2 linked regions of the Macaca mulatta genome follow. The protein of the gene in region 2 interacts with the protein of the main gene of each other region in a pairwise test. Links are inferred from orthologs where the notes say so. Each region holds a gene or a part of one and is shown on either strand. Other genes may lie near its edges.

Region 1 (10,556 bases), on a different chromosome or scaffold from region 2:
CAGTGATCTGGAACTGAACCTGCAACATCTCTGAGGTGTGCCTGTAATAATACCAATGCAAATAGTAATAGTGAAAATAGCAGTAGAGAAAATACAGTCATAGCATGCAGGGTGCTTGTGCTCTGGATCAAACAGCTCTGGGCTAGAATCTTGATCTTACCATTTGCTGACACATCACTTTACCTTTTAGTTTCTCTACCTATAAAATGGGATATTGATAGTATTTTAGGATTTTTGTGAGGCAAATGAGCTGACCTCTGTAAAATACCCAGCAACAGTGCCCAGGATGTAGTCAGGGCTGAAGTGTTACCTATAATAATGAGAACCACCTCAACAGCAATGAACTATTTTTTTCCTCTTTCTTTCTTTCTTTTTCTTTCTTTTCTTTTCTTTTCTTTTCTTTCTTTCTTTCTCTTTCTTTCGTTCTTTCTTTCTTTTTTTCTTTCTCTCTCTCTCTTTCTGTCTTCTCTCTCTTTCTCCCTCTCTCTCCTTCCTCCTCCTCCTTCTTCTTTTCTTTTCTTTCCTTTTCCTTCCTTCCTTCCTTCCTTCCTTCCTTCCTTCCTTCCTTCTTCTTTTTTTTTTTTTGTTTTGAGACAGGGTCTCACTCTCTCACCCAGGTTGGAGGGCAGTGGTGCTTTTGTAGAGAAGGGGTCTTGCCATCTTGCCCGGGTGTTGACAGCTGTTGCGAGATCTTAGTTCTTGCCTTCTTAGTTTAAAAGAATATAGACAAGAGACACATAGCAAAGGGGAGGTGCAGCATAGAGTAATTTATTGCAGAGGAAAAAGAACATTTTGAAAGTTAGGTACAGAAAGGACAGGACACCCTGAGAGAGACGGGATTCAGGGCAGACTGCTTGTAAGGATAAGACAGCATTGATTGTTGCTGGGAGACTCCCTTTGAGGGGGTTTTACATGATTATTCATAAGGGGTTGAGAGAGGCATTACTAGTAAGCATGTTCTGGGTGGTCCTCTCAGTGCCCATGCACAGTAGCTGTACGTGCTTGTTCATATGTTGCATGTCTCATTAGCATCTTAAATCTCCACCTAGGGGTGTGTTTTTTACTCTTTTAATGCACAAAGGGTCAGTTTGAGGACAGTAAAATCAAAGTGCGTATGCTTTCTAGAGAGGAAAGTCCCTACTGAAGATCACTTTGCTTGAGTGAGCTCAATTACAATGCGAATGCTGAGGCTTGTTGTGTTGACTGTATAGTCACCACGGATGCTGCATCTTGAGGACACGGTCACTTCCTTGACTACCTATCCTGCCTCACAGGCTGGTCTCAAACTCCTGGGCTCAAGCAATTCTCCTGCCTTGGCCTCCCAAAGTGCTGGGATTACAAGCATGAGCCACTGTACCTGGCCTAATAATGAACTCTATGTGCCATGTGCTTTCCATGTATTATCTCATTTAATCGTCAGGTCTACCTGATCAGGTAGGTACTATTATTGTTCCCATTTTGCAGATGAATAAACTGAGGCTTGAGGAGGTGGATCCTTTTGCTCAGGGTTACACAACAGTAGCCAGCATTTGATTCAACACTCCAAGCTCACCCCACTCTGCCCTGCTGCTTCCTCCCTGGGTGGAGATGATCTTCTCTGGGGAGGTGGCCTTTTGAGGCGTTGGCTGATATTATCTCGGAGGGTGGGGAAAGCAAGCAGACAGGCCACAAAGAGCCATTGGCTGGAACTCATCTGCAGGAGTTCTCTAACGCCACCAAAACTTGGCGGGACCTAGAAGTCTTCTCTTCTGTCGTGAGGATAGACACAAGGTCTGCACTCTGCCTCAAGTTCAAAGGGCCTGAAGTATTGAGAAGTACGCCTCATTTGTTTGTCTTTTTAAGAAAACTCACCCTAGGGCCAAGTAGTTTTTACAGGACAATGCTTAATGTAAGTTCTAGAACTGTGCATTTGGATGTGGTCCCGGGTAGCCCTGGTCCAGGAATCACGCTGAGGAAAGGTTACATCTGAGATGTGGTCATAGCTGTAGTGTGGCACCCAGGAGAGGGTGGGAGGTGAGCAGAAGAGCTCAGCCAGAGCTTGATTCTACCACTTCCTAGCTGTGTGCCTTGAGGCAAGTCATTTCACCTCTCGGAGCCTCTGCTTCCCCATCCATCCATTCATCCATCCACCCATAAACTCACCCAGCCCATCAGGTGATGCCAGTGCCCAGGCCCCACCTCCAGAGCACTGGCTTTAACTTGGCTTCAGAATTTAATTAGGCTCCTGGTAGGAGCCAGGGTTGGCGTGAGGGCCATGGTGCTTGGCAGCCAGTTGGCCAAGTGGATGCATCAGGCTCAACCTGTGTTGGTTCAGCTATTTCATTCAATGTTCAAGGCACAGGTGAACCTCAGATATGCAGTTTGAATCCCTGGTGTGTTCTGCCAGGAGGGGTAAGGCAGAAGAATGGGCTTTGGGTCACTCAACTCAAGCCAGCTGGCTTGAGGGTCAGTTGGCCTCTTGAGTCAGTATTCTTGTCTGAAACAATGCCCACCGCAGGGGGCTGTCATGAGAATTAACAGGATTACAAATGTAAGGGCCTGGCACAGGGCACGGATGCTTAACAGACGGTTGTAACTTACCTGTGGAGGTTTTCCATCGAGGGGTTTATTTAGAGATGCTAAGACCTATTTGGAGGCTGCAAAACCCCTAGACTTGAGCTCACTGAAGGGCACATGATGCCCTCGTGTGGCTCTAACTAGATTTGTCTTGGGAAAGGGTGTCTTTAATGTGAGTTTAAAAAATATCCATTCGTTTTAGCAGCACAACCACGTTTGGAGACTTGGGCTCTTCTGGGAATATTGCTTCGGTTGTTTATAAGCTCCTCCTGATGTCAACTCTGAGGACGTTAACTGGGACAGAAATGTCTCATTTAAATTAAAAAAAATCACAAAGAAAAGTGGTGGGGAATTGTGGTGGTGCCACATGTAATAAACAAGGGAGAGACAAGCTCAGTCTAGAGGGACTGTGAATTAAATTGCAGAACATGCCACACACGACAATTTTACATGGTTCTACCCAGGGTTCTAATTTGAGATTCCTATAAAGTCCCTGGTCTGTGGCTGCCGTCACAGACTACACAGGGAACAGTCTTTGAAGTTCTGCGCCCTCCACCAGAACCCAGAGCATTAAAACAAAAAAAAAAACAAAAAAAGTAAGGGAGGCATATTTAAGAGGCAGCCAGCCTATGCCTGAACAAAAAACCACCACCAGAAAAAACAAACACATCTTACTTTTGAAGTTGAACATTTGAGACTATGGGAGTCAATATTTCAATCACCCATTTTCACTAGAAGATAGGGCATCCTTTATTGAGATTTGCATGACTACAGGTAGCTAAGAATAGGGAGACATCAGGGTAGGAGGAACCGTGCTTAGACTTATGCCCACGCCAGGGATGAATGCTTGTCTGGTTTTTTTTTGAGAGAGTCTTGCTCTGTCTTGCAGGCTGGAGTGCACTGGTGCAATCTTGGCTCACTGCTACCTCTGCCTCCCAGGTCAAGCGATTCTCCTGCCTCAGCCTCCCGAGTAGTGGGATTACAGGCACATGCCGCCACGCCTGGCTCATTTTTGTATTCTTAGTAGAGACAGGGTTTCACTATGTTGGCCAGGCTGGTCTTGAACTCCTGACCTCGTGATCCACCCGCCTCGGCCTCCCAAAGTGCTGGGATTACAGGTGTAAGCCACCGCGCCCGGCTGGATGAATGTTTTTTAAACAACCTTAGGTGTACTATGCAGGTACAGAGAGTTCAGAATGAACCAGTTACATACTACACCGATGCAGAACAGAGCATTCAGAAGTTTCTTCCCTAAAGTTCGGCTCATCTATGACCTTGGTTCTTTTTTTTTTTTTTTTTTTTTTTTTTGAGACGGGGTCTTGCTCTGCCGCCCAGGCTGGGGTGCAGTGGCCGGATCTCAGCTCACTGCAAGCTCCGCCTCCCAGGTTTACGCCATTCTCCTGCCTCAGCCTCCCGAGTAGCTGGGACTACAGGCGCCCGCCACCTCACCCGGCTAGTTTTTTGTATTTTTTAGTAGAGACGGGGTTTCACCGTGTTAGCCAGGATGGTCTCGATCTCCTGACCTCGTGATCCGCCCGTCTCGGCCTCCCAAAGTGCTGGGATTACAGGCTTGAGCCACCGTGCCCGGCCTGACCTTGGTTCTTAAAGTGGTTCTTAAAAGTCAGGGGCTCTGGAATTACCTGCCCAGACAGAAGTCAGAAACTTGGGCCTAGAAATCTGCATTTTAAACTCATTCCCGAGGTGCTCTTCACGTATCTTTAGGGTGCTAAGCCAATGCTTCTTAGATTTGAGCAACCAGTGAAATTACAAAAAGAATCTTCAAGACTCACTTCGAGCTGTCAACTATTATCTCACAAAGAACAATGAAAAGCGATAATCATCTCCTTTCATCCTTGTTCCAAAAAAATATTATGTGTATTTGTCTTTGGAAAAAATCTTGTACATGACCTTTACTGTTGTTTGCTTGGAGAGCTGTGTATGTCATTGCGGTCCAACATCTGGGAACCCCAAGGGGCTTTGGGCACCACTTTGGAGTGAATGATGGGCCCAAGAGACAAGGCTTATTAGAGAACACCATTATCTTCCATTGTTTTATTATTATTTTTTTATATATATGCAGATCTGTTTTATGTACAACAATTAGTTCTATCAAATATTCAGACAAAGGCATTCTACTGGTAATTTCCCTCCAAATCAATTCAGGTAAAATTAGATACTTACGTACTTCATGGGCTATCAACATTTGCAACTTATCAATTTCAGTTCTGAGGTCATACACACAATTCAAAATACACATTAACTAGGTTAAGGCGATAAAAGTGGACTGAAAGAAACCACGGGATTCAGAACAATGAAACTGTGTATTTTGCTTGCATGAGAGTCATAATGTGAACAGCAAGTATTGTGCGTATCTCATAGCTCTTCAGTGGAGAGGGAGCGGCTTCTGAACATCTAAGGTGATTGCACGGCAGGTGGGAAACAGGGGTGTGGCCTGCTGGAGGCTTCTCCCAGGGAGGGCTCATTTCTTCTCTGCTTCTCCTTTTTTGGGTTCTTGTTTCAATTTGTAATCAGCCAGGGCGGCCTTGATTGCATCTTCAGCCAGCACTACAGGTAACGGAAGGAAAGAAGCCTAAGTTTCTAGATGCGAAAGAAGTGGTTTTGGGAATAGAATCTTTAAGAGCTTAGAGGAAGTGGTGCTGGTGGGGACTAACGGGGTAACCAAGACAGAAAGCTGGGGTGAGGAGTTGCCGGGCAGGTCAGCAGCTACTTACTGAGCTGAGTTACTCCTGTGGGTAATCCTGGAGACAGACTAGGGTTTAAATATCTGTGATCCCAGGCTAGTTCCTTAGCCTCTTCGAACCTACTTTCTACTCTATAGAACTGGGATAATCATGCTTTTCTTGCCAGGATAGTGTGGGGACTTACGGAAGATGTCTAACACATAGTAGGGACATAGCAAATGTTAGTTCTTGCCTGCTCCCATCAAAGTCTGGCTTTGGACAAAATCATATCATGATAAAAAGTTGACATGACCTTTGGAAAAAAGATCATGTCAATCTGTTGATGGGATGGCATTTGCCACATCACCCTCTAGTGATCGAGAGTTTGACCACTTTTATTTAGGAGTCAATATTCAAAGTGAGGCTATGGGGAAAATAAAAACCAAGAGAGCTGGAATGACAGCAGAAAGCAAGCAAATAGCAGAGAACATCAGCTAAAGGTTTCAGTACCTAAAAATGCCTAATAAAAGGGCTAGGGATTTCCTGAAACCATGTGAAAATGTTTACAAGTGATGACCTTTCTTTATGGGTACTTAAAATTCCAGATCAAGTGGAAAGAACTTGGGTCTGACCAGGCTTCCTGAAGAATGAGTTAGTGTGTCTGCCCCGGCACCTGGCTCTTCTCCTTGTGAGTATTACCCTGGCAAGAGGCCTGACTCTCTGCTGATTTTTAACTAATTTGGTTAGTAAACCTCCATCGATGCATTAAGGCTAATGTTTCTCATTCCTTCTTTCCCTGAGAAGGTTAAGAAATGATGGAAAAAGCATTAGATTTAATACAGAGACCAAACTGGAAAGCCAAGTACAAGTCTTAAGGCATGTGAGCTTTTTTTTAGGATAGCAGAGAGGGGGACATTGTACAACTGGGCTTAGTTGTGCCATATATACAGATGCAGACCCTGACAGTTATAGCATCCAGACAGGAAGTGAAGAAATACACAGGAAACGGGATTATGGAGAAAGCTGAGTTTTCTCCTCTGCTAGAAACAGCAGATTCTGAAATCAAAGATTGGAGCTTAAATTCTGGCTCTCCCACTTATTAGCCATGTGACGTGGGTGTCTCAACCCAAGCCTCAGCTCCTTCATCCATAAGAGGAAAGTAATGACATCGACTGTGCACTCAAGGATATCTGTGAGGTTTAGAAATGATGCCCATCAAGTGCTCAGTATGATGGCTGGTGCATATCTCCTTCTGGCATGATTTTCTTAGGGATGAATGTGAGACCACGGGGGCTCTAACCCTCTGCAGGTTGTAAGGACAGACTCATGAGCTCTAATTCTGAGGGTTATAAACATGGGCTCCATGACCTAAAAGGACTGTTGCAAATGCAAGTTGAAATTACTGCCAAATGTCCCAGCTGACTGGTATGGAGAGCAGAGACTTACTGGAGCAGTGCAGTTTCACGGGAGGCAGGCAGAGCTCCTTGGCGATATCTGTGTTTTTGATAGTCAAGGCTTCCTCCACCTGAGAGGCATAATGGAAAGACGGGCAGTTTTAGCAACGCTTTATCTTGTGAGGGCCAGACAATAAAAAAGGGAGGCCAAAAAGGCCCTCGGGGTTGGTGGGGATAATTTCTGTTTAATAACTCAAAGGGTTGAGGGTCTTCTCAGGATGACTCCCACTCTATCAAAGCTGCAGCTGGGATTCTCAAGCATGAAGTATACACAGCTGCACTGCCTGGCTTGGGTAAGCAAAGACCGCCCAGACACTTCTCTAAGCCAGGAGTGGAACCGGTGAGAAGTCTCTTAGGGATCTGCTTGTGGCCTGTGTCAGGAATCTTTTCCTTAAAAGGTAGTGATTTCCGATACTGGTTTTGTGAATATCAGCTTCTCTGATGTCCTCATACGAAATGTTAGAATAAATCCTTTTGACTAGAAGTGCCACATGGCATCAGAGAGGTTGGGAAGATGTCAGGTAAGTGGCACAGTGGCAGTGGCACAGCCGGGTCGGGCTGAACGCTCTCTCTGGTGTCACCCTTTGCCTATAGGAGCAGCTCCTCCAGATCAACTGAGGAGGACGCCTGGGTTCTGGTTGACAGCCCGGGGGGGATAATGTGAGGCAAACAGATCCTCGCCCATGTGGAACAGTGCCCCACCGCCTTACAGAAAACCAGATTTCCCAACAGCTGGGCTCCTTTGCTATGTCTGACTATCGTTCAATTTCCCAATTCTGCTAACCCTTCTTGGCTGATTCAGGTTCTGCTCCTGAAACTCAGATAGGCGATCTCAGTTTAAAGGTTAAAGAAATGTTCTCTCTCCCATTTTCTGATCACAATTCACAGTCCCCTAAGAGCCAGGTTCTGGGAGCATAAGTGCCTTGTCTCATTTCTCCCTTCACCTGAGGACAGTTCCTGACAAACCACTTCAGGGCTACCTCCTGCCAGAGCAGGTTAGGTCTGAGCTTCCTGGCCCACAGGAGCTTGCCAGCCAGAAGGCCGTGAGCCACAGGAAGCAGGTGGCACGTGGCCTGGCAAACCGCTCTGCCGTGGAGCTGGCCAGCTCCCAAGCATGCTCCTCCATGACTCAGCTCCCTGCACCTGGTCCCTTGGGGCAGCAAAGATGAGTGCCATGATGGTTGGCTTTTCTGAGAGGTTCTGACAGCAACTGGATTTTAGAAAGTCCAGCTCTTCACTGCTTTTGGGACCTTTGACCTCTGCAGCTACCAGGGAAAGACACTTCGGAGAGAAAGGGATGAAAGAGAAGTTCTAGCTCTTTATTATCTCTGCCTTTAGAGGGCTTGTGATCAGCCACCTGGATCACTGTTCTGATTTCGTTGTTCACTTTGCCCCTACCCTTGCTGTGTTTTTGATTCTTTAATCCCTCTTTTAACACACGCTAGTTTATTTCACCAATCCTTGTAAGCCACCTAGAACCCTTCCTGAAACATGAGAGGAAATAAGCAAGAAAATAACTACCATATAACAACTCTCTGACTTGACAAATTATAAGAGTATTGGTAACCTTAGAGAAAGCCAAAGATTTCTTCTAAATTCTATTTTGTTAGAGGGACAGGTGAGGATCTTTTTTGTATGTAATTAACACCCAAACAAACAAACAAAATGATCAACAAGAAAAAAACCCAAACATCATCTAGAATGATCTATAATTCCCAATTTGAAGAATTAATATAATCAACATCTGTATAGCAGAAACTTTAAAAATTCAGAATATTAAAAAAAAGTTATGGTTGTTTTTGACCCATTAGACCCGTCAAGAGACAGGCTTGGGGTGAATGCAATTTCATTCTGTCAGATTTGTGAGCAACCTTACCGTCTTTCCTTTCACCCATTCAGTGGCTAATGAGCTGGAGGCAATTGCAGAACCACAGCCAAATGTTTTAAACCTAGCATCCACAATTTTCCCCTTTTCATCCACTTGAATCTAGAAAAGAGACAAGAGTTAAGTGGTGAGTCCTAGGACCACCCTCTGGAACTTGGCACTCACGAAGTTTCATTGGGGCCTTCCCCAAGGGCTTTGGGCTTGCTTTCCATACTAAGTGATGGTATTAATTACTGATTTTGCCTTGTTTCAGAGAGCTCAGTGATGAAAAGTGAAATGCAGGGACAACTATCCAGGCCCAACTGACAAAGATCAGCTGAAAAATATGTTCCTCCACCCCAATATTATTTTGTTTTGCGACTCTGGCTTGCATTTTGGCTATGAACTTCTATTTGAGGCAGTCTGCTCACAGCTGCTGGGGCAATCTGCCTCTTAAACACTGAGAGAGTACACAATAAAGGTCTCTGGTTAATACTTTTTTCTTGGGCAGCAGATTATACTTAGTGGTTTCCTCCTGTTTTGTTTCTGTATTCCAAGATAGGTATGAAGATCTCTGGCAAGCTGCCCACTCACCATGAAGCAGCAGATTGGCGCTACAACAACAGTTTACCCAAAGCACTAGACACTATCTTCATGTTGCTCCCAATCTGGGGACAGGTTTAATTTACTGTGTTTCTTATCTCATTGGGGACTGCTAGCTCACTGGGATTTTCCTTTGATCAGTAAAATTTACAAAACTCTTTCGTTGGCTGAAGTTGGAATTTAAACTTATACAGTGAGTACAAAAATGAGATTACTTTTCTATTTCGGAAAAAGTCGGCATAGTACACTAGCCTAGCAGGAGAGCTACGATTGAGGCCCTGTTCCAATCATGTCTAACATGGACTCATCCCATCTCACAGGAATAAAGATGGAGACCGAGTGAAATGCTGTATGTGCAAGTGCTTTGTAAACTTAAAGGGATTATTGTTATCACTATTAAAGACTAGCCATACCTGTAATTTCATTACGTCACCACATGCTGGAGCCCCCACCAGTCCAGTTCCAACATTTTTAGATGTCTTGTCAAGGGACCCCACGTTTCTAGGATTTTCATAATGATCAACAACCTAAAATGAGAGGGTTAAGATAAATCGTGTTCACTCTCTATTGGTGCTGGTCTCTGGTATGGTGGCAAGCTCCTGGAAGTCAGCATCTTGAACCTGGCAGGCAATCACCAAATTTCACCTGAGTAGAAAGGTCTACACTCATGTCAGTGAGAACCATTTGTGACCCCCAATTCCTTTTGTGTCTCCTCTACAACTACTTCACAGATTAGCGACACCTAGAAGAAAAAAATATCAGTGAAATCATGTCTTAATTCCATAGGGTTTTTACAAAAATACTTGACTTTTACCCACCTACATCACCAGACTTGGGCTCAAACAGCAGTTTTGTTATTTTCAAATAAAAACTATCCTCAAAGGATGATTACTATTTAAAAATTCTAAAAATAACTATGGCCCAGGAAGGGAAAACTTTTAGAAGCCTTAAGGTGACTGTTACACAGAGAACAATGCTATGGAATGTGTACGTTTATGTGTCTTTCAAAATAAAAACAGTGCCATTACCGTATTTCAGAGCCTGTCATCACCCTGGTGCAGCAGCGCACCCTGGCTGCTGAAAGGCTGCTAGTCCAAGTTTCCTCGGGGTGTACCCTCAACGAAACACACCGCCGGGAGGGGGAGGAGTGAAGAAGCCCTTGGAGAAAGGGCAGAGGCCAGATCAGAATCAACATCTATTCGAACTGGCACACAGAAGGCCTTAATGTGGTTACTGGTTAGTAGTAAGCACCCCGATCTTCCAGTCCCCTTTTCCTCCCCATCTAAGGATTTTGACTCCAAGTAAAGGCCCCTATAGGATAGTATCTAACGGAGGGACTTTTTGTGCCACGTTGATTTATTCTGTTTCTAGAGTGGCAGTCTCACGTCTGGGGGACTT
Region 2 (8,817 bases):
GTCTGAGGGCAGATTTTGAAAGCACCCTAACATTTTTGGGGTTTACTAAAAACTTGGGAGCAGTGGTGTGCTGAAGCTGAGTCATACCAGGTCATAAGAGCTGAGTTACATTTTCAGGAGTTTCGGCTTTTGCTCTGCAAGCCATTCATTTTTTTTTTTTTTTTTTTGAGACGGAGTCTTGCTCTGCCGCCCAGGCTGGGGTGCAGTGGCCGGATCTCAGCTCACTGCAAGCTCCGCCTCCCAGGTTTACGCCATTCTCCTGCCTCAGCCTCCCGAGTAGCTGGGACTACAGGCGCCCACCACCTCACCCGGCTAGTTTTTTGTATTTTTTAGTAGAGACGTGGTTTCACCGTGTTAGCCAGGATGGTCTCGATCTCCTGACCTCGTGATCCGCCCGTCTCGGCCTCCCAAAGTGCTGGGATTACAGACTTGAGCCACCGCGCCCGGCCCATTCATTATTAAAAAATAAATTGTATCGATGATTAGATTGTACTAAAAAAGAATCAAAAGTCATCATTCCCTCATGATTTGATGGTTTGACCACATATTATACTACTATATGTGCTGGGTTTTTTTTTTTTGAGACAGAATCTCACTTTTGTTACCCAGGCTAGAGTGCAGTGGTACGATCTCGGCTCACTGCAACCTCTGCCTCCCGGGTTCATGTGATTCTCCCACCTCAGCCTCCAAGTATCTGGAACTACAGGCAGGAGCCACCACGCCTGGCTAATTTTTGTATTTTTGTAGAGACGAGGTTTCGCCATGTTGCCCAGGCTGGTCTCAAACTCCAGAGCCCAAGTAATCTACTCCTCTTGGACTCCCCAAAATGCCGGGAATACAGGCATGAGCCACCACACCCAGCCCCCATTTGCCACTCTTTTTTTTTTTTGAGACGGAGTCTCGCTCTGTCACCCAGGATGGAGTGCAGTGGCGCGATCTCTGCTCACTGCAAGCTCCGCCTCCTGGGTTCATGCCATTCTCCTGCCTCAGCCTCCTGAGTAGCTGGGACTACAGCGCCCGCCACCTCGCCCAGCTAGTTTTTTTGTATTTTTTAGTAGAGACGGGGTTTCACCGTGTTAACCAGGATGGCGTCGATCTCCTGACCTTGTGATCTGCCCGTATCGGCCTCCCAAAGTGCTGGGATTACAGGCTTGAGCCACCGCGCCCGGCCCCATTTGCCACTCTTATCCCTAAACAGGGAAAAGCAAAGCAGTAAGAGCTGAGATTCACCTTTAAAAGCCTCTGATTCCAAATTTAGTCACCAAATATGTTGTCTTCATATTAATTAATGAGGAACTTAAGGAAAGGCCATTTGTCGGGACTGGCAAGGAAGCACGTCTGTGTATTTTCTTCCTGGAAAGGGAAATTGAAATTACAACGGAGCCATCACCCGCGGTGGCACCCAGTCAGTTGCTGGTGCTGCGATCTTGGGATCCCTCCTAGACTCCCCCAGGAGGCCTGTTGGGACCATTTCCCACATGGCTTTGGGGCAGAGCCCCTGATTTAATGGAATCACTTGTGTTATTCAGAGTGGGGTGCTCAAGATCCCTTGGGGTATGGGAAGAAAATGTAGAACTTAATTTTCGTATTTTTTGAGACGGAATGTAACTTTTGTCGCCCAGGCTGGAGTGCAATGACGTGATCTCGGCTCACTGCAACCTCCGCCTCCCAGGTTCAAGTGATCCTCGTGAGGAGCTGGGATTACAGGCACCCGCCACCACGTCTGGCTAATGTTTGTATTAGTTATTTATTTTTTATGTTTTTGACACGGAGTCTTGCTCTGTCGCCCAGGCTGGAGTGCGGTGGCACCATCTCTGCTCACTGCAAGCTCCGCCTCCCGGGTTCACGCCCTTCTCCTGCCTCAGTCTCTCTGAGTAGCTGGGACTATAGGCGCCCGCCACCACACCCAGCTAATTTTTTTATATTTTTAGTAGAGATATTCACTGTGTTAGCCAAGATGGTCTCAGTCTCCTGATCTTGTGATCCACCCACTTCAGCCTCCCACAGTGCTGGGATTACAGGCGTGAGCCACCATGCCCGGACCCTAGTTTTTGTATTTTTAGAAGAGACGGGGTTTCACCATGTTGGCCAGGCTGGTCTGAAACTCCTGATCTCAGGTGATCTGCCTGCCTCGGCCTCCCAAAGCTGGAATCTGTTCTTATTTTAAAAATGTAACTGTAAGAAAGCAATTAAGCATTGCTAAGCTTTAATATGCAAAATAGGAAATAGTATGCAAAATAATAGGAAAATATACATATAGACTTTGGAAATATATGCTCAAATTTTTCTCGTCATGATTGTGTGGACCCTGCCAACGACCTCTTTGTGGGCATTTTTTGGTACCTCCAGCACCAGATCAGGACCAGCTCTGAAAATAGATGCTGAAGGCACAAATGTAGGTAAAATGCAAACTGCTTCCTGCCTCCTAAGGGGACTCAAGCCCTCCCTTCCAGCAGAGGGGGCAGCATGAGTCAAGGCCTATGAACTGCACAGAGGTCCCTGCTGTAGGTGACAGCTTTCAGAGAGAAGTAGCTGGGGTTGTGGGGTCTTCCTCTGGTTTACCATGCCCACCACACACACCCATGGCTTCTACTCAGACACAACTCCTGTCCTTCAGAGCCCAAGATGGCCCAAGGACATTTTATTCATTTGGGACATAGTTTCGCTTTATCTAGGCTGGAGTGCAATGGCATGATCTCAGCTTACTGTAACCTCCACCTCCTGGGTTCAAGCGGTTCTCCTGCCTCAGCCTCCCGAGTAGTTGGGATTACAGGCGCCCACCACCTAATTAGCCACCAGCTAATGTTTGTATTTTTAGTAGAGATGGGGTTTCTCCATGTTGGTCAGGCTGGTCTCGAACCCCCGACCTCAGGTGTTCTGCCAGCCTTGGCCTCCCAAAGTGCTAGGATTACAGGTGTAAGCCACCGTGCCCAGCCGGTCCAAGGAAATAATGACTCATGATGATGACTTCGGCAGACTTTTGGAACCTGGGCCATAAATCTTCCAAGCGTGGCCCACAGATTGACATGAACAGGTTGAGGGAGGCCGAAGGGGTACACTTCCCACAGCCCAGAAGATCTGAGTGCTTAGGACCATTCCAGTCCACAGAGCGAGGCTGCAGGGCAGAGGAAGAGCATGGGGCCTGTGTCTTTAGCCCCAGGTGCCAGGAAGGAATGCTGCCCATGCTGTCTGTAGCCACTGGACTAGCGCCTTAGGGATGGGGCTAGATGACTTAACGTGTGTTTTTTGAGACAGTGTCTTGCTCTGTCGCCCAGGCTGGAGTGCAGTGGCAGATCACGGCTCACTGCAGCCTCTAATACCTGGGCTTAAATGATCCTCCCACCTCAGCCTCCCAGGCAGCTGAGACACAGGTGCGTGCCAGCATGCACAACCAACTTTTTTGTAGTTGGTAGAGATGGGTTTCACCATGTTGCCCAGGCTGGTCTTGAATCCCTGACCTCAAGTGTTCGCCTATCTCGGCCTCCCAAAGTACTGGGATTACAGGTGTGAGCCACCTCGCCCAGCCATATTTGTGTATATTCTATGACGTAACAGTCACAAACACCAAGGGCCCACTCCCCGTGGTGGCTTCACTCGCGTGTTCCTCTTCTACCACCAGGCACCACCCCTTCCAGGAGCAAACCACAATTTGCATTTTCTATTACTCCGTCTCATCAAACAAAAGCTGCTTCATCACATGCTCCTGTGTCTATGCAAGCACTGCTTGCCCCTGCGTTTCACGTGAATGACACCCCTGCAGAGTCTCCTGAAAGCTGCTCTTTTTACTCAAGTTTCTCCTCCTAACATTTATCCATATTAGCAGCCTTTTTGGTTTCACAATACATTTATTTAGAAAAGCAACATACAGTAATAGGTATTTCAGAGAATGCAGCAAAGGATAAAGACAAATACAAAAGACACTTGGGATACAACTGCTGGCTTCTGCCTTCCACACACAGTGGATTTTACTGTAACTGACTAGAGTCACTCTGGTGCCAGGAAGTTCAGAGCCATGTCCGTGGCCACCACTGGCAGCTGTGGCTATTTCTGTGGACTGTTGTTATGCCGGGCTTCATTGTTCTTTCATTTAATAAATGTCCCAGTCACATTTGTTGGACTGGGCTGGGGACATACAGGGGAACAACAGTGGGTCTCTGCCCGTGGGAGCTCACAATCTAACAGCGAGACGGACGCAAACGGCTAGCACAGGACAGCATAGCAAATGTTACCCAAGGTACAGGCTCAGGGTGCTACGGGGACCTGCAAGAAGGCCACCTGAGCTTTGGGTAGCTGGGAAGGCTTCCTGGAGGAGGTGAGGCCCAGAGGTGGGGGTAAGCCTGGGCCGGGCAAAAGGCAGGCCTCTGTGTGTAGGCCCCTCAGCTGACCTGTCTTCTGTGCAATTCTCGATCCCACTGTTTGTTCTATTCACACTGTGCTGCTTTGTCTTGGTGGTTAGCTTTCACAGGCACACACCTCCTACTCCAAAACTTACGCTGCTGTCTCCTGGGACGCTTTTTTTTTTTTTTGAGACAGTCTCTGTTGCCAGGCTGGAGTGCAGTGGTGTGATCCTGGCTCACTGCAACACCTCCCAGGTTCAAGTGATTCTCCTGCCTCAGCCTCCCGAGTAGCTGAGATCACAGGCACCCACCACACCTGGCTAATTTTTGTATTTTTAATAGACACGGGTTTCACCATGTTGGTCAGGCTGGTCTTGAACTCCTGACCTCAAGTGATCGGCCTGCCTCAGCCACCCAAATTGCTGAGATTACAGGCATGAGCCACTGCGCCCTGCAGGCTTTGGAGGTTCTCTTACATTTGGTATTTTTTCATGACACCTATGACTACGCTTTGGAGAGAGCGGCTGTCCCCGCGACCCTGGCTGGGACCAAGACCACCACTGCGTCTCCATCACCAGGTCAAGCCAGGATGAGGTGGGCAGTCGCAATGGCTGGAAAGGGGCCAAAGACACTCAAATAAAAGCCACAGAAGCCACACCCATGAGGCTGCTGCCTGGGCAGAGGGCTCAGAATACTTCCTACATGGAAAAAGGCAAAGCACACAGCAATTGTCTCAAGGGCAGTCACGTGAAAGAAAGAAACATGTATCTTGCTACAACCCCAAACTAGACAACAGGGCGCGTTCCCCACATGGAACTCCCAGGGCCCTGCTGTCGCTCAGTCGAAGGTGATGCGGAAGCTGCGCTCCTGCTCCTTGCGCCGGCCCTCGCACACCTTGGTCACCTCCTCCACCTTCCTCTGCAGCAGGGCCGAGTTCTGGTCGATCCACTGCAGCGAGCCCATGTGCGCGTTGAGGATCTTGCAGATCTGCTGCAGCGGGTCGCTGGTGTCGGCGGGGGCCCCGGACGTATTCAGGTGCTCGATGATGTCCTTGAGGTCCTGGGCCATGCGCTTGAGCTGCGCGTCGATGTTCTCAGCCAGCTTGTAGGTTTTCTCGCGCTCCTCATCCGCGTGCTGCAGGTAGATGGTTCCGCTCTGCTCCTTTACCAACTCCTCCAGCGGGCTCAGCAGGTCTTCCAGCTCCTTCTGCTGGGACAGGATGAAGTCGAGCTCCTGGTCCAGCCTCTTCTGGTCCAGCTTCACCTTCTCCACCTCGCGGTGCAGGCTGGTGATCTTCTCCCCGTTCTCGATCAGCGTGCGGTCCCAGGCGTTGACCTGGGTGGCCTGCTGGAGGAAGTGCCGCTCCTGGTCCTCTAGCTCCAGGCTCCATTTGTTGATCAGGCTCTCCAGCTGCGCGTAGGTCATGGCGGAGCTGGCGGCCGCCCCTGCAGCTGCACCAGGGCCAGGTGGAGCAGTCACAGCGGCTGCCGTATTGCTGGGGATCCCAGCTGGCGCCAGTGGTTTTAAATTCAAGGCAAAGCCGGTGGTGCTGCTGCTGCTGCTGGTGGCCGCGGCGGTGGCAGTGGTGGATGTTGCTGTGGAGGCGCCCGAAGCTGCTCCAGGTGCCTTTAAGCTGAAGCCCTGTGTCCCGGCAGCGGGGGCTCCCGCGGTGGTCGCAGGGGTACAGAGGGAGAGTCCGGTGGTGGCAGACGAGGTTGGAGCGGTTGCTATTGATGCAAAGAGGGTGGGCCCAGTACCGGTGGTGGTGGCTGTGGCTGTGGGAGCAGCTGGCTGCGTAACGCCTGCTGTGGTGGCTGCTGGCGTGGCCGGAGTAAAGGGCAGAGTGGCAGGTGCGGTGGGCTGGGCTGAATTCCCCGCTGAGCCAATGTTGAAACCGGAGGGCTGGGCCGTGCTTCCACCAGTGAATGAGAAGCCTCCAGATGTGGTGGCTGGAGCCACAGAGGTGGTGGAGGGGCCAAACACAAAGCCAGTGGGTGCTGTGCCCTGGCTGGAGGTGACAGTGCTCGATATGGCATTAGTGAGGTTGCTGCTGCCCAGCCCAAAGCCACTGGGGTTTGCCATGGCTGGGGTGGCAGCTGTGTTGCTCAAGTTGAGCTTTGAAGCACCGATCCCCAAAGAAAATCCAGTTCCCCCCGAGGCAAGAGTTGCTGTTCCAAAAGTGAAGCCTGTTGTCTGTGTGGCTGGAGTCTGAGTGGCGAGTGAGAACAGGCCGGTGGAAGGGGTACTTGTGGTTGGTTGGGAGGGAGCCCCAAAATTAAACCCTCCAGTGCCAGAGGTGGAGAAAGAAAACCCTGTGGCAGGTGTGGTTGTCGCTGTCTTTGCAGTGCCAAATGTGAACCCACCTGTAGGGGCCCCAGTGCCTCCAAAATTAAACCCGCTCATGGCTCCGGACTCTGGTGGCGGCAGCTACTCTGGCTCCCAAAGCAAATCCGCTGGCGTCTGCGACCTCGGGAAGATTTCTAAAGCAAAGGAAGTGACACTGTCAGATGGCAGTTTTGGAAAGGCAAGCCCAGTGGCATGACTGGGCACGGCTGGTTTGGAGGGTGGTGGGATGGGATTACGATACCATGCAGCAACCCCCCTTTGTCCTGTGTAACCTAAACCAGACTCTGCTACATCGAGAAGGATCCAGAAGCACAAATGCACGCTCCAGGGGTCAGGTACGAGGAGCCGGGGTGCTAGGGACGTGCATGGCCACGTTCAGCACAGTGGAAAGTTCCCACTCTGGAGGATGAGGCGGGAGAACAGGACCTTGGACCCACTTCAGCCCGAGGAGATCAGATTTGAGGCACTGCCACAAGGGGGACTAGGGCACAGAAGAACAGCTGTAGGACCTGCTCCCAGCGTGGGACCCAGTAAGGTTCCCTGGCTGACTCTAGCGGGGTGTGAGCGGATCAGCTCTTGCCACCCTGAGGGCCTCTCTGGACGTGAGAGAGAGAGATGGGGCAGGGAACCCAGGCTGGATGGCAGGATCCGGGCTGCTGAAGGTCCCCCAGGCCCACACCTGTACTCTCTAAGAGCAGGAGAGGACGTGCCCCTCCTAACTCAGGGGAGGGTCTGAAACCCATGTGCTCAGAGCACAGATGCCCCTGGCCACAGTGACTGGCTCGAGGATAAACTGAGACCTGAGCCAGGCAATCAGAGCCTCCCCTGGGATTTTCTCCATGCTCAGAAGGCAGCTGCCTCCTTCGCCTCTAAGTGTGGTACAGGGGATTGCACCTGGGCCTCCCTTGGACACCTTCTCAACCACCTGCAGACACTGGGACATCACCGGAGACCATGAGCCCCACCAGAGATGGATGGGGTGGGGAACAGATAAAGAGCCCCCGAGAAGCCCCATGGGCCAAACATTTCCCTTCAGTCCAAACTGACTTGATGTTGGTGACGTCTAACCGAAAAATCTCCAAGTGGTGCCATCTATCAGCGGGATGGTGAGGAAAGGGTGAGAGGAAGTGCTGGATAGGGGTGTTTTTTTTCTTTTGGGAAAGGGTTTTGCTCTGTCATACCAGCTGGAATGCAGTGACATATCACAACTCACTGCAGCCTCAAGCTCCGGGGCCCAAGCGATCCTTCCACCTCAGCCTCCCAAAGTAGCTGGGACTACAGGTACATGCCACCATGCCCGGCTAATCTTTTTTATTTTTCGTAGGAACGGGATTTCACTCTGTTGCCCTGGTCTTGAACTCCTGGGCTCAAGCGATCCTCCCTCTTTGTCCTCCCAAAGTGCTAGGACTATAGGTGAGAGCCCTCCAGATGATCAGAAGCATCCTTAGAAGATGGGTTTGACTGACTGGAGAGGGAAGAAAGCTTGTGGTGGCAAGAGCAGACTGGAGTGATGCGCTTTGGAACCTGAAGACGGGAGAAAGCCAGGAGCCAGGGAAGGCAGAAGCAGCTCTAAAAGCCGGAAATGGAAAGAGGGAGGCCCTGTCTAAAAAACAAACAAACAAACAGAACGAACAAAGTCATGACTGAGAAGCCAAGTGCCTGGCCCAGAGAAACACCCAGGACGTCTGTTTCCTCTTCCCTCTCTCCAGGCCAGTTTTTAAATTGCTTGGTGTCTGTCCTCAGGAAATCCCCTTCTAGCTTGAGGAAGAGGAAACCTACCTCACTACCCCCACCCCTTCCACTGCACCCTTCTGCCTTCCACAGGCCCCTAATTTTTGTTTCATCTGCTCCTCCTCCTCCACACAGCCAAGCAAGTCTGGGGAGATGACCCCAGGGCCAGCTGCATGCGCTCTGCCTTGTCCCAGCCAGCAGATCTCAATGGGCGCCCATCAGCACTGACTGGAGCATTTAAAACACCGAAGGCTGCCAGCTCCATGAAGCCAGTCTCTCCAGGGCTAGGATGCTGGCCCTGGCATTTTCATAAAGCTCTCCTGGGGGATTCTGAGAAAGGCTTCTTCAACAGGCCACAGCAAGTGCCTGAGCCCCCAGGACTGTTGGGGCCCAGCCCGGCCTG

What was found.
Region 1: the proteins of NUP62 (region 2) and ISCU interact in binary tests that used the Homo sapiens proteins (3 or more experiments, as listed by UniProt). The two-hybrid records come from large-scale screens. The link is inferred for Macaca mulatta from reciprocal best matches to the Homo sapiens genes NUP62 and ISCU.

Annotation. Positions count from the first base shown.
Region 1 is NC_133416.1:115,691,840-115,702,395, reverse strand, and holds the end of ISCU (iron-sulfur cluster assembly enzyme ISCU), read right to left. Parts: intron 10,307-10,556; exon of another isoform or gene 10,187-10,306; intron 9,901-10,186; exon of another isoform or gene 9,843-9,900; coding exon of another isoform or gene 9,804-9,842; intron 9,686-9,803; coding exon 9,572-9,685; intron 8,679-9,571; coding exon 8,568-8,678; intron 6,763-8,567; coding exon 6,684-6,762; intron 6,296-6,683; coding exon of another isoform or gene 6,249-6,295; exon of another isoform or gene 6,234-6,248; intron 6,034-6,233; coding exon of another isoform or gene 5,981-6,033; exon of another isoform or gene 5,966-5,980; intron 5,122-5,965; coding exon 5,036-5,121; 3' UTR 4,624-5,035; downstream 1-4,623.
Region 2 is NC_133424.1:62,367,084-62,375,900, forward strand, and holds the end of NUP62 (nuclear pore glycoprotein p62), read right to left. Parts: intron 6,818-8,817; 5' UTR 6,741-6,817; coding exon 5,175-6,740; 3' UTR 4,706-5,174; downstream 1-4,705. UniProt on the Homo sapiens protein: Essential component of the nuclear pore complex. The N-terminal is probably involved in nucleocytoplasmic transport.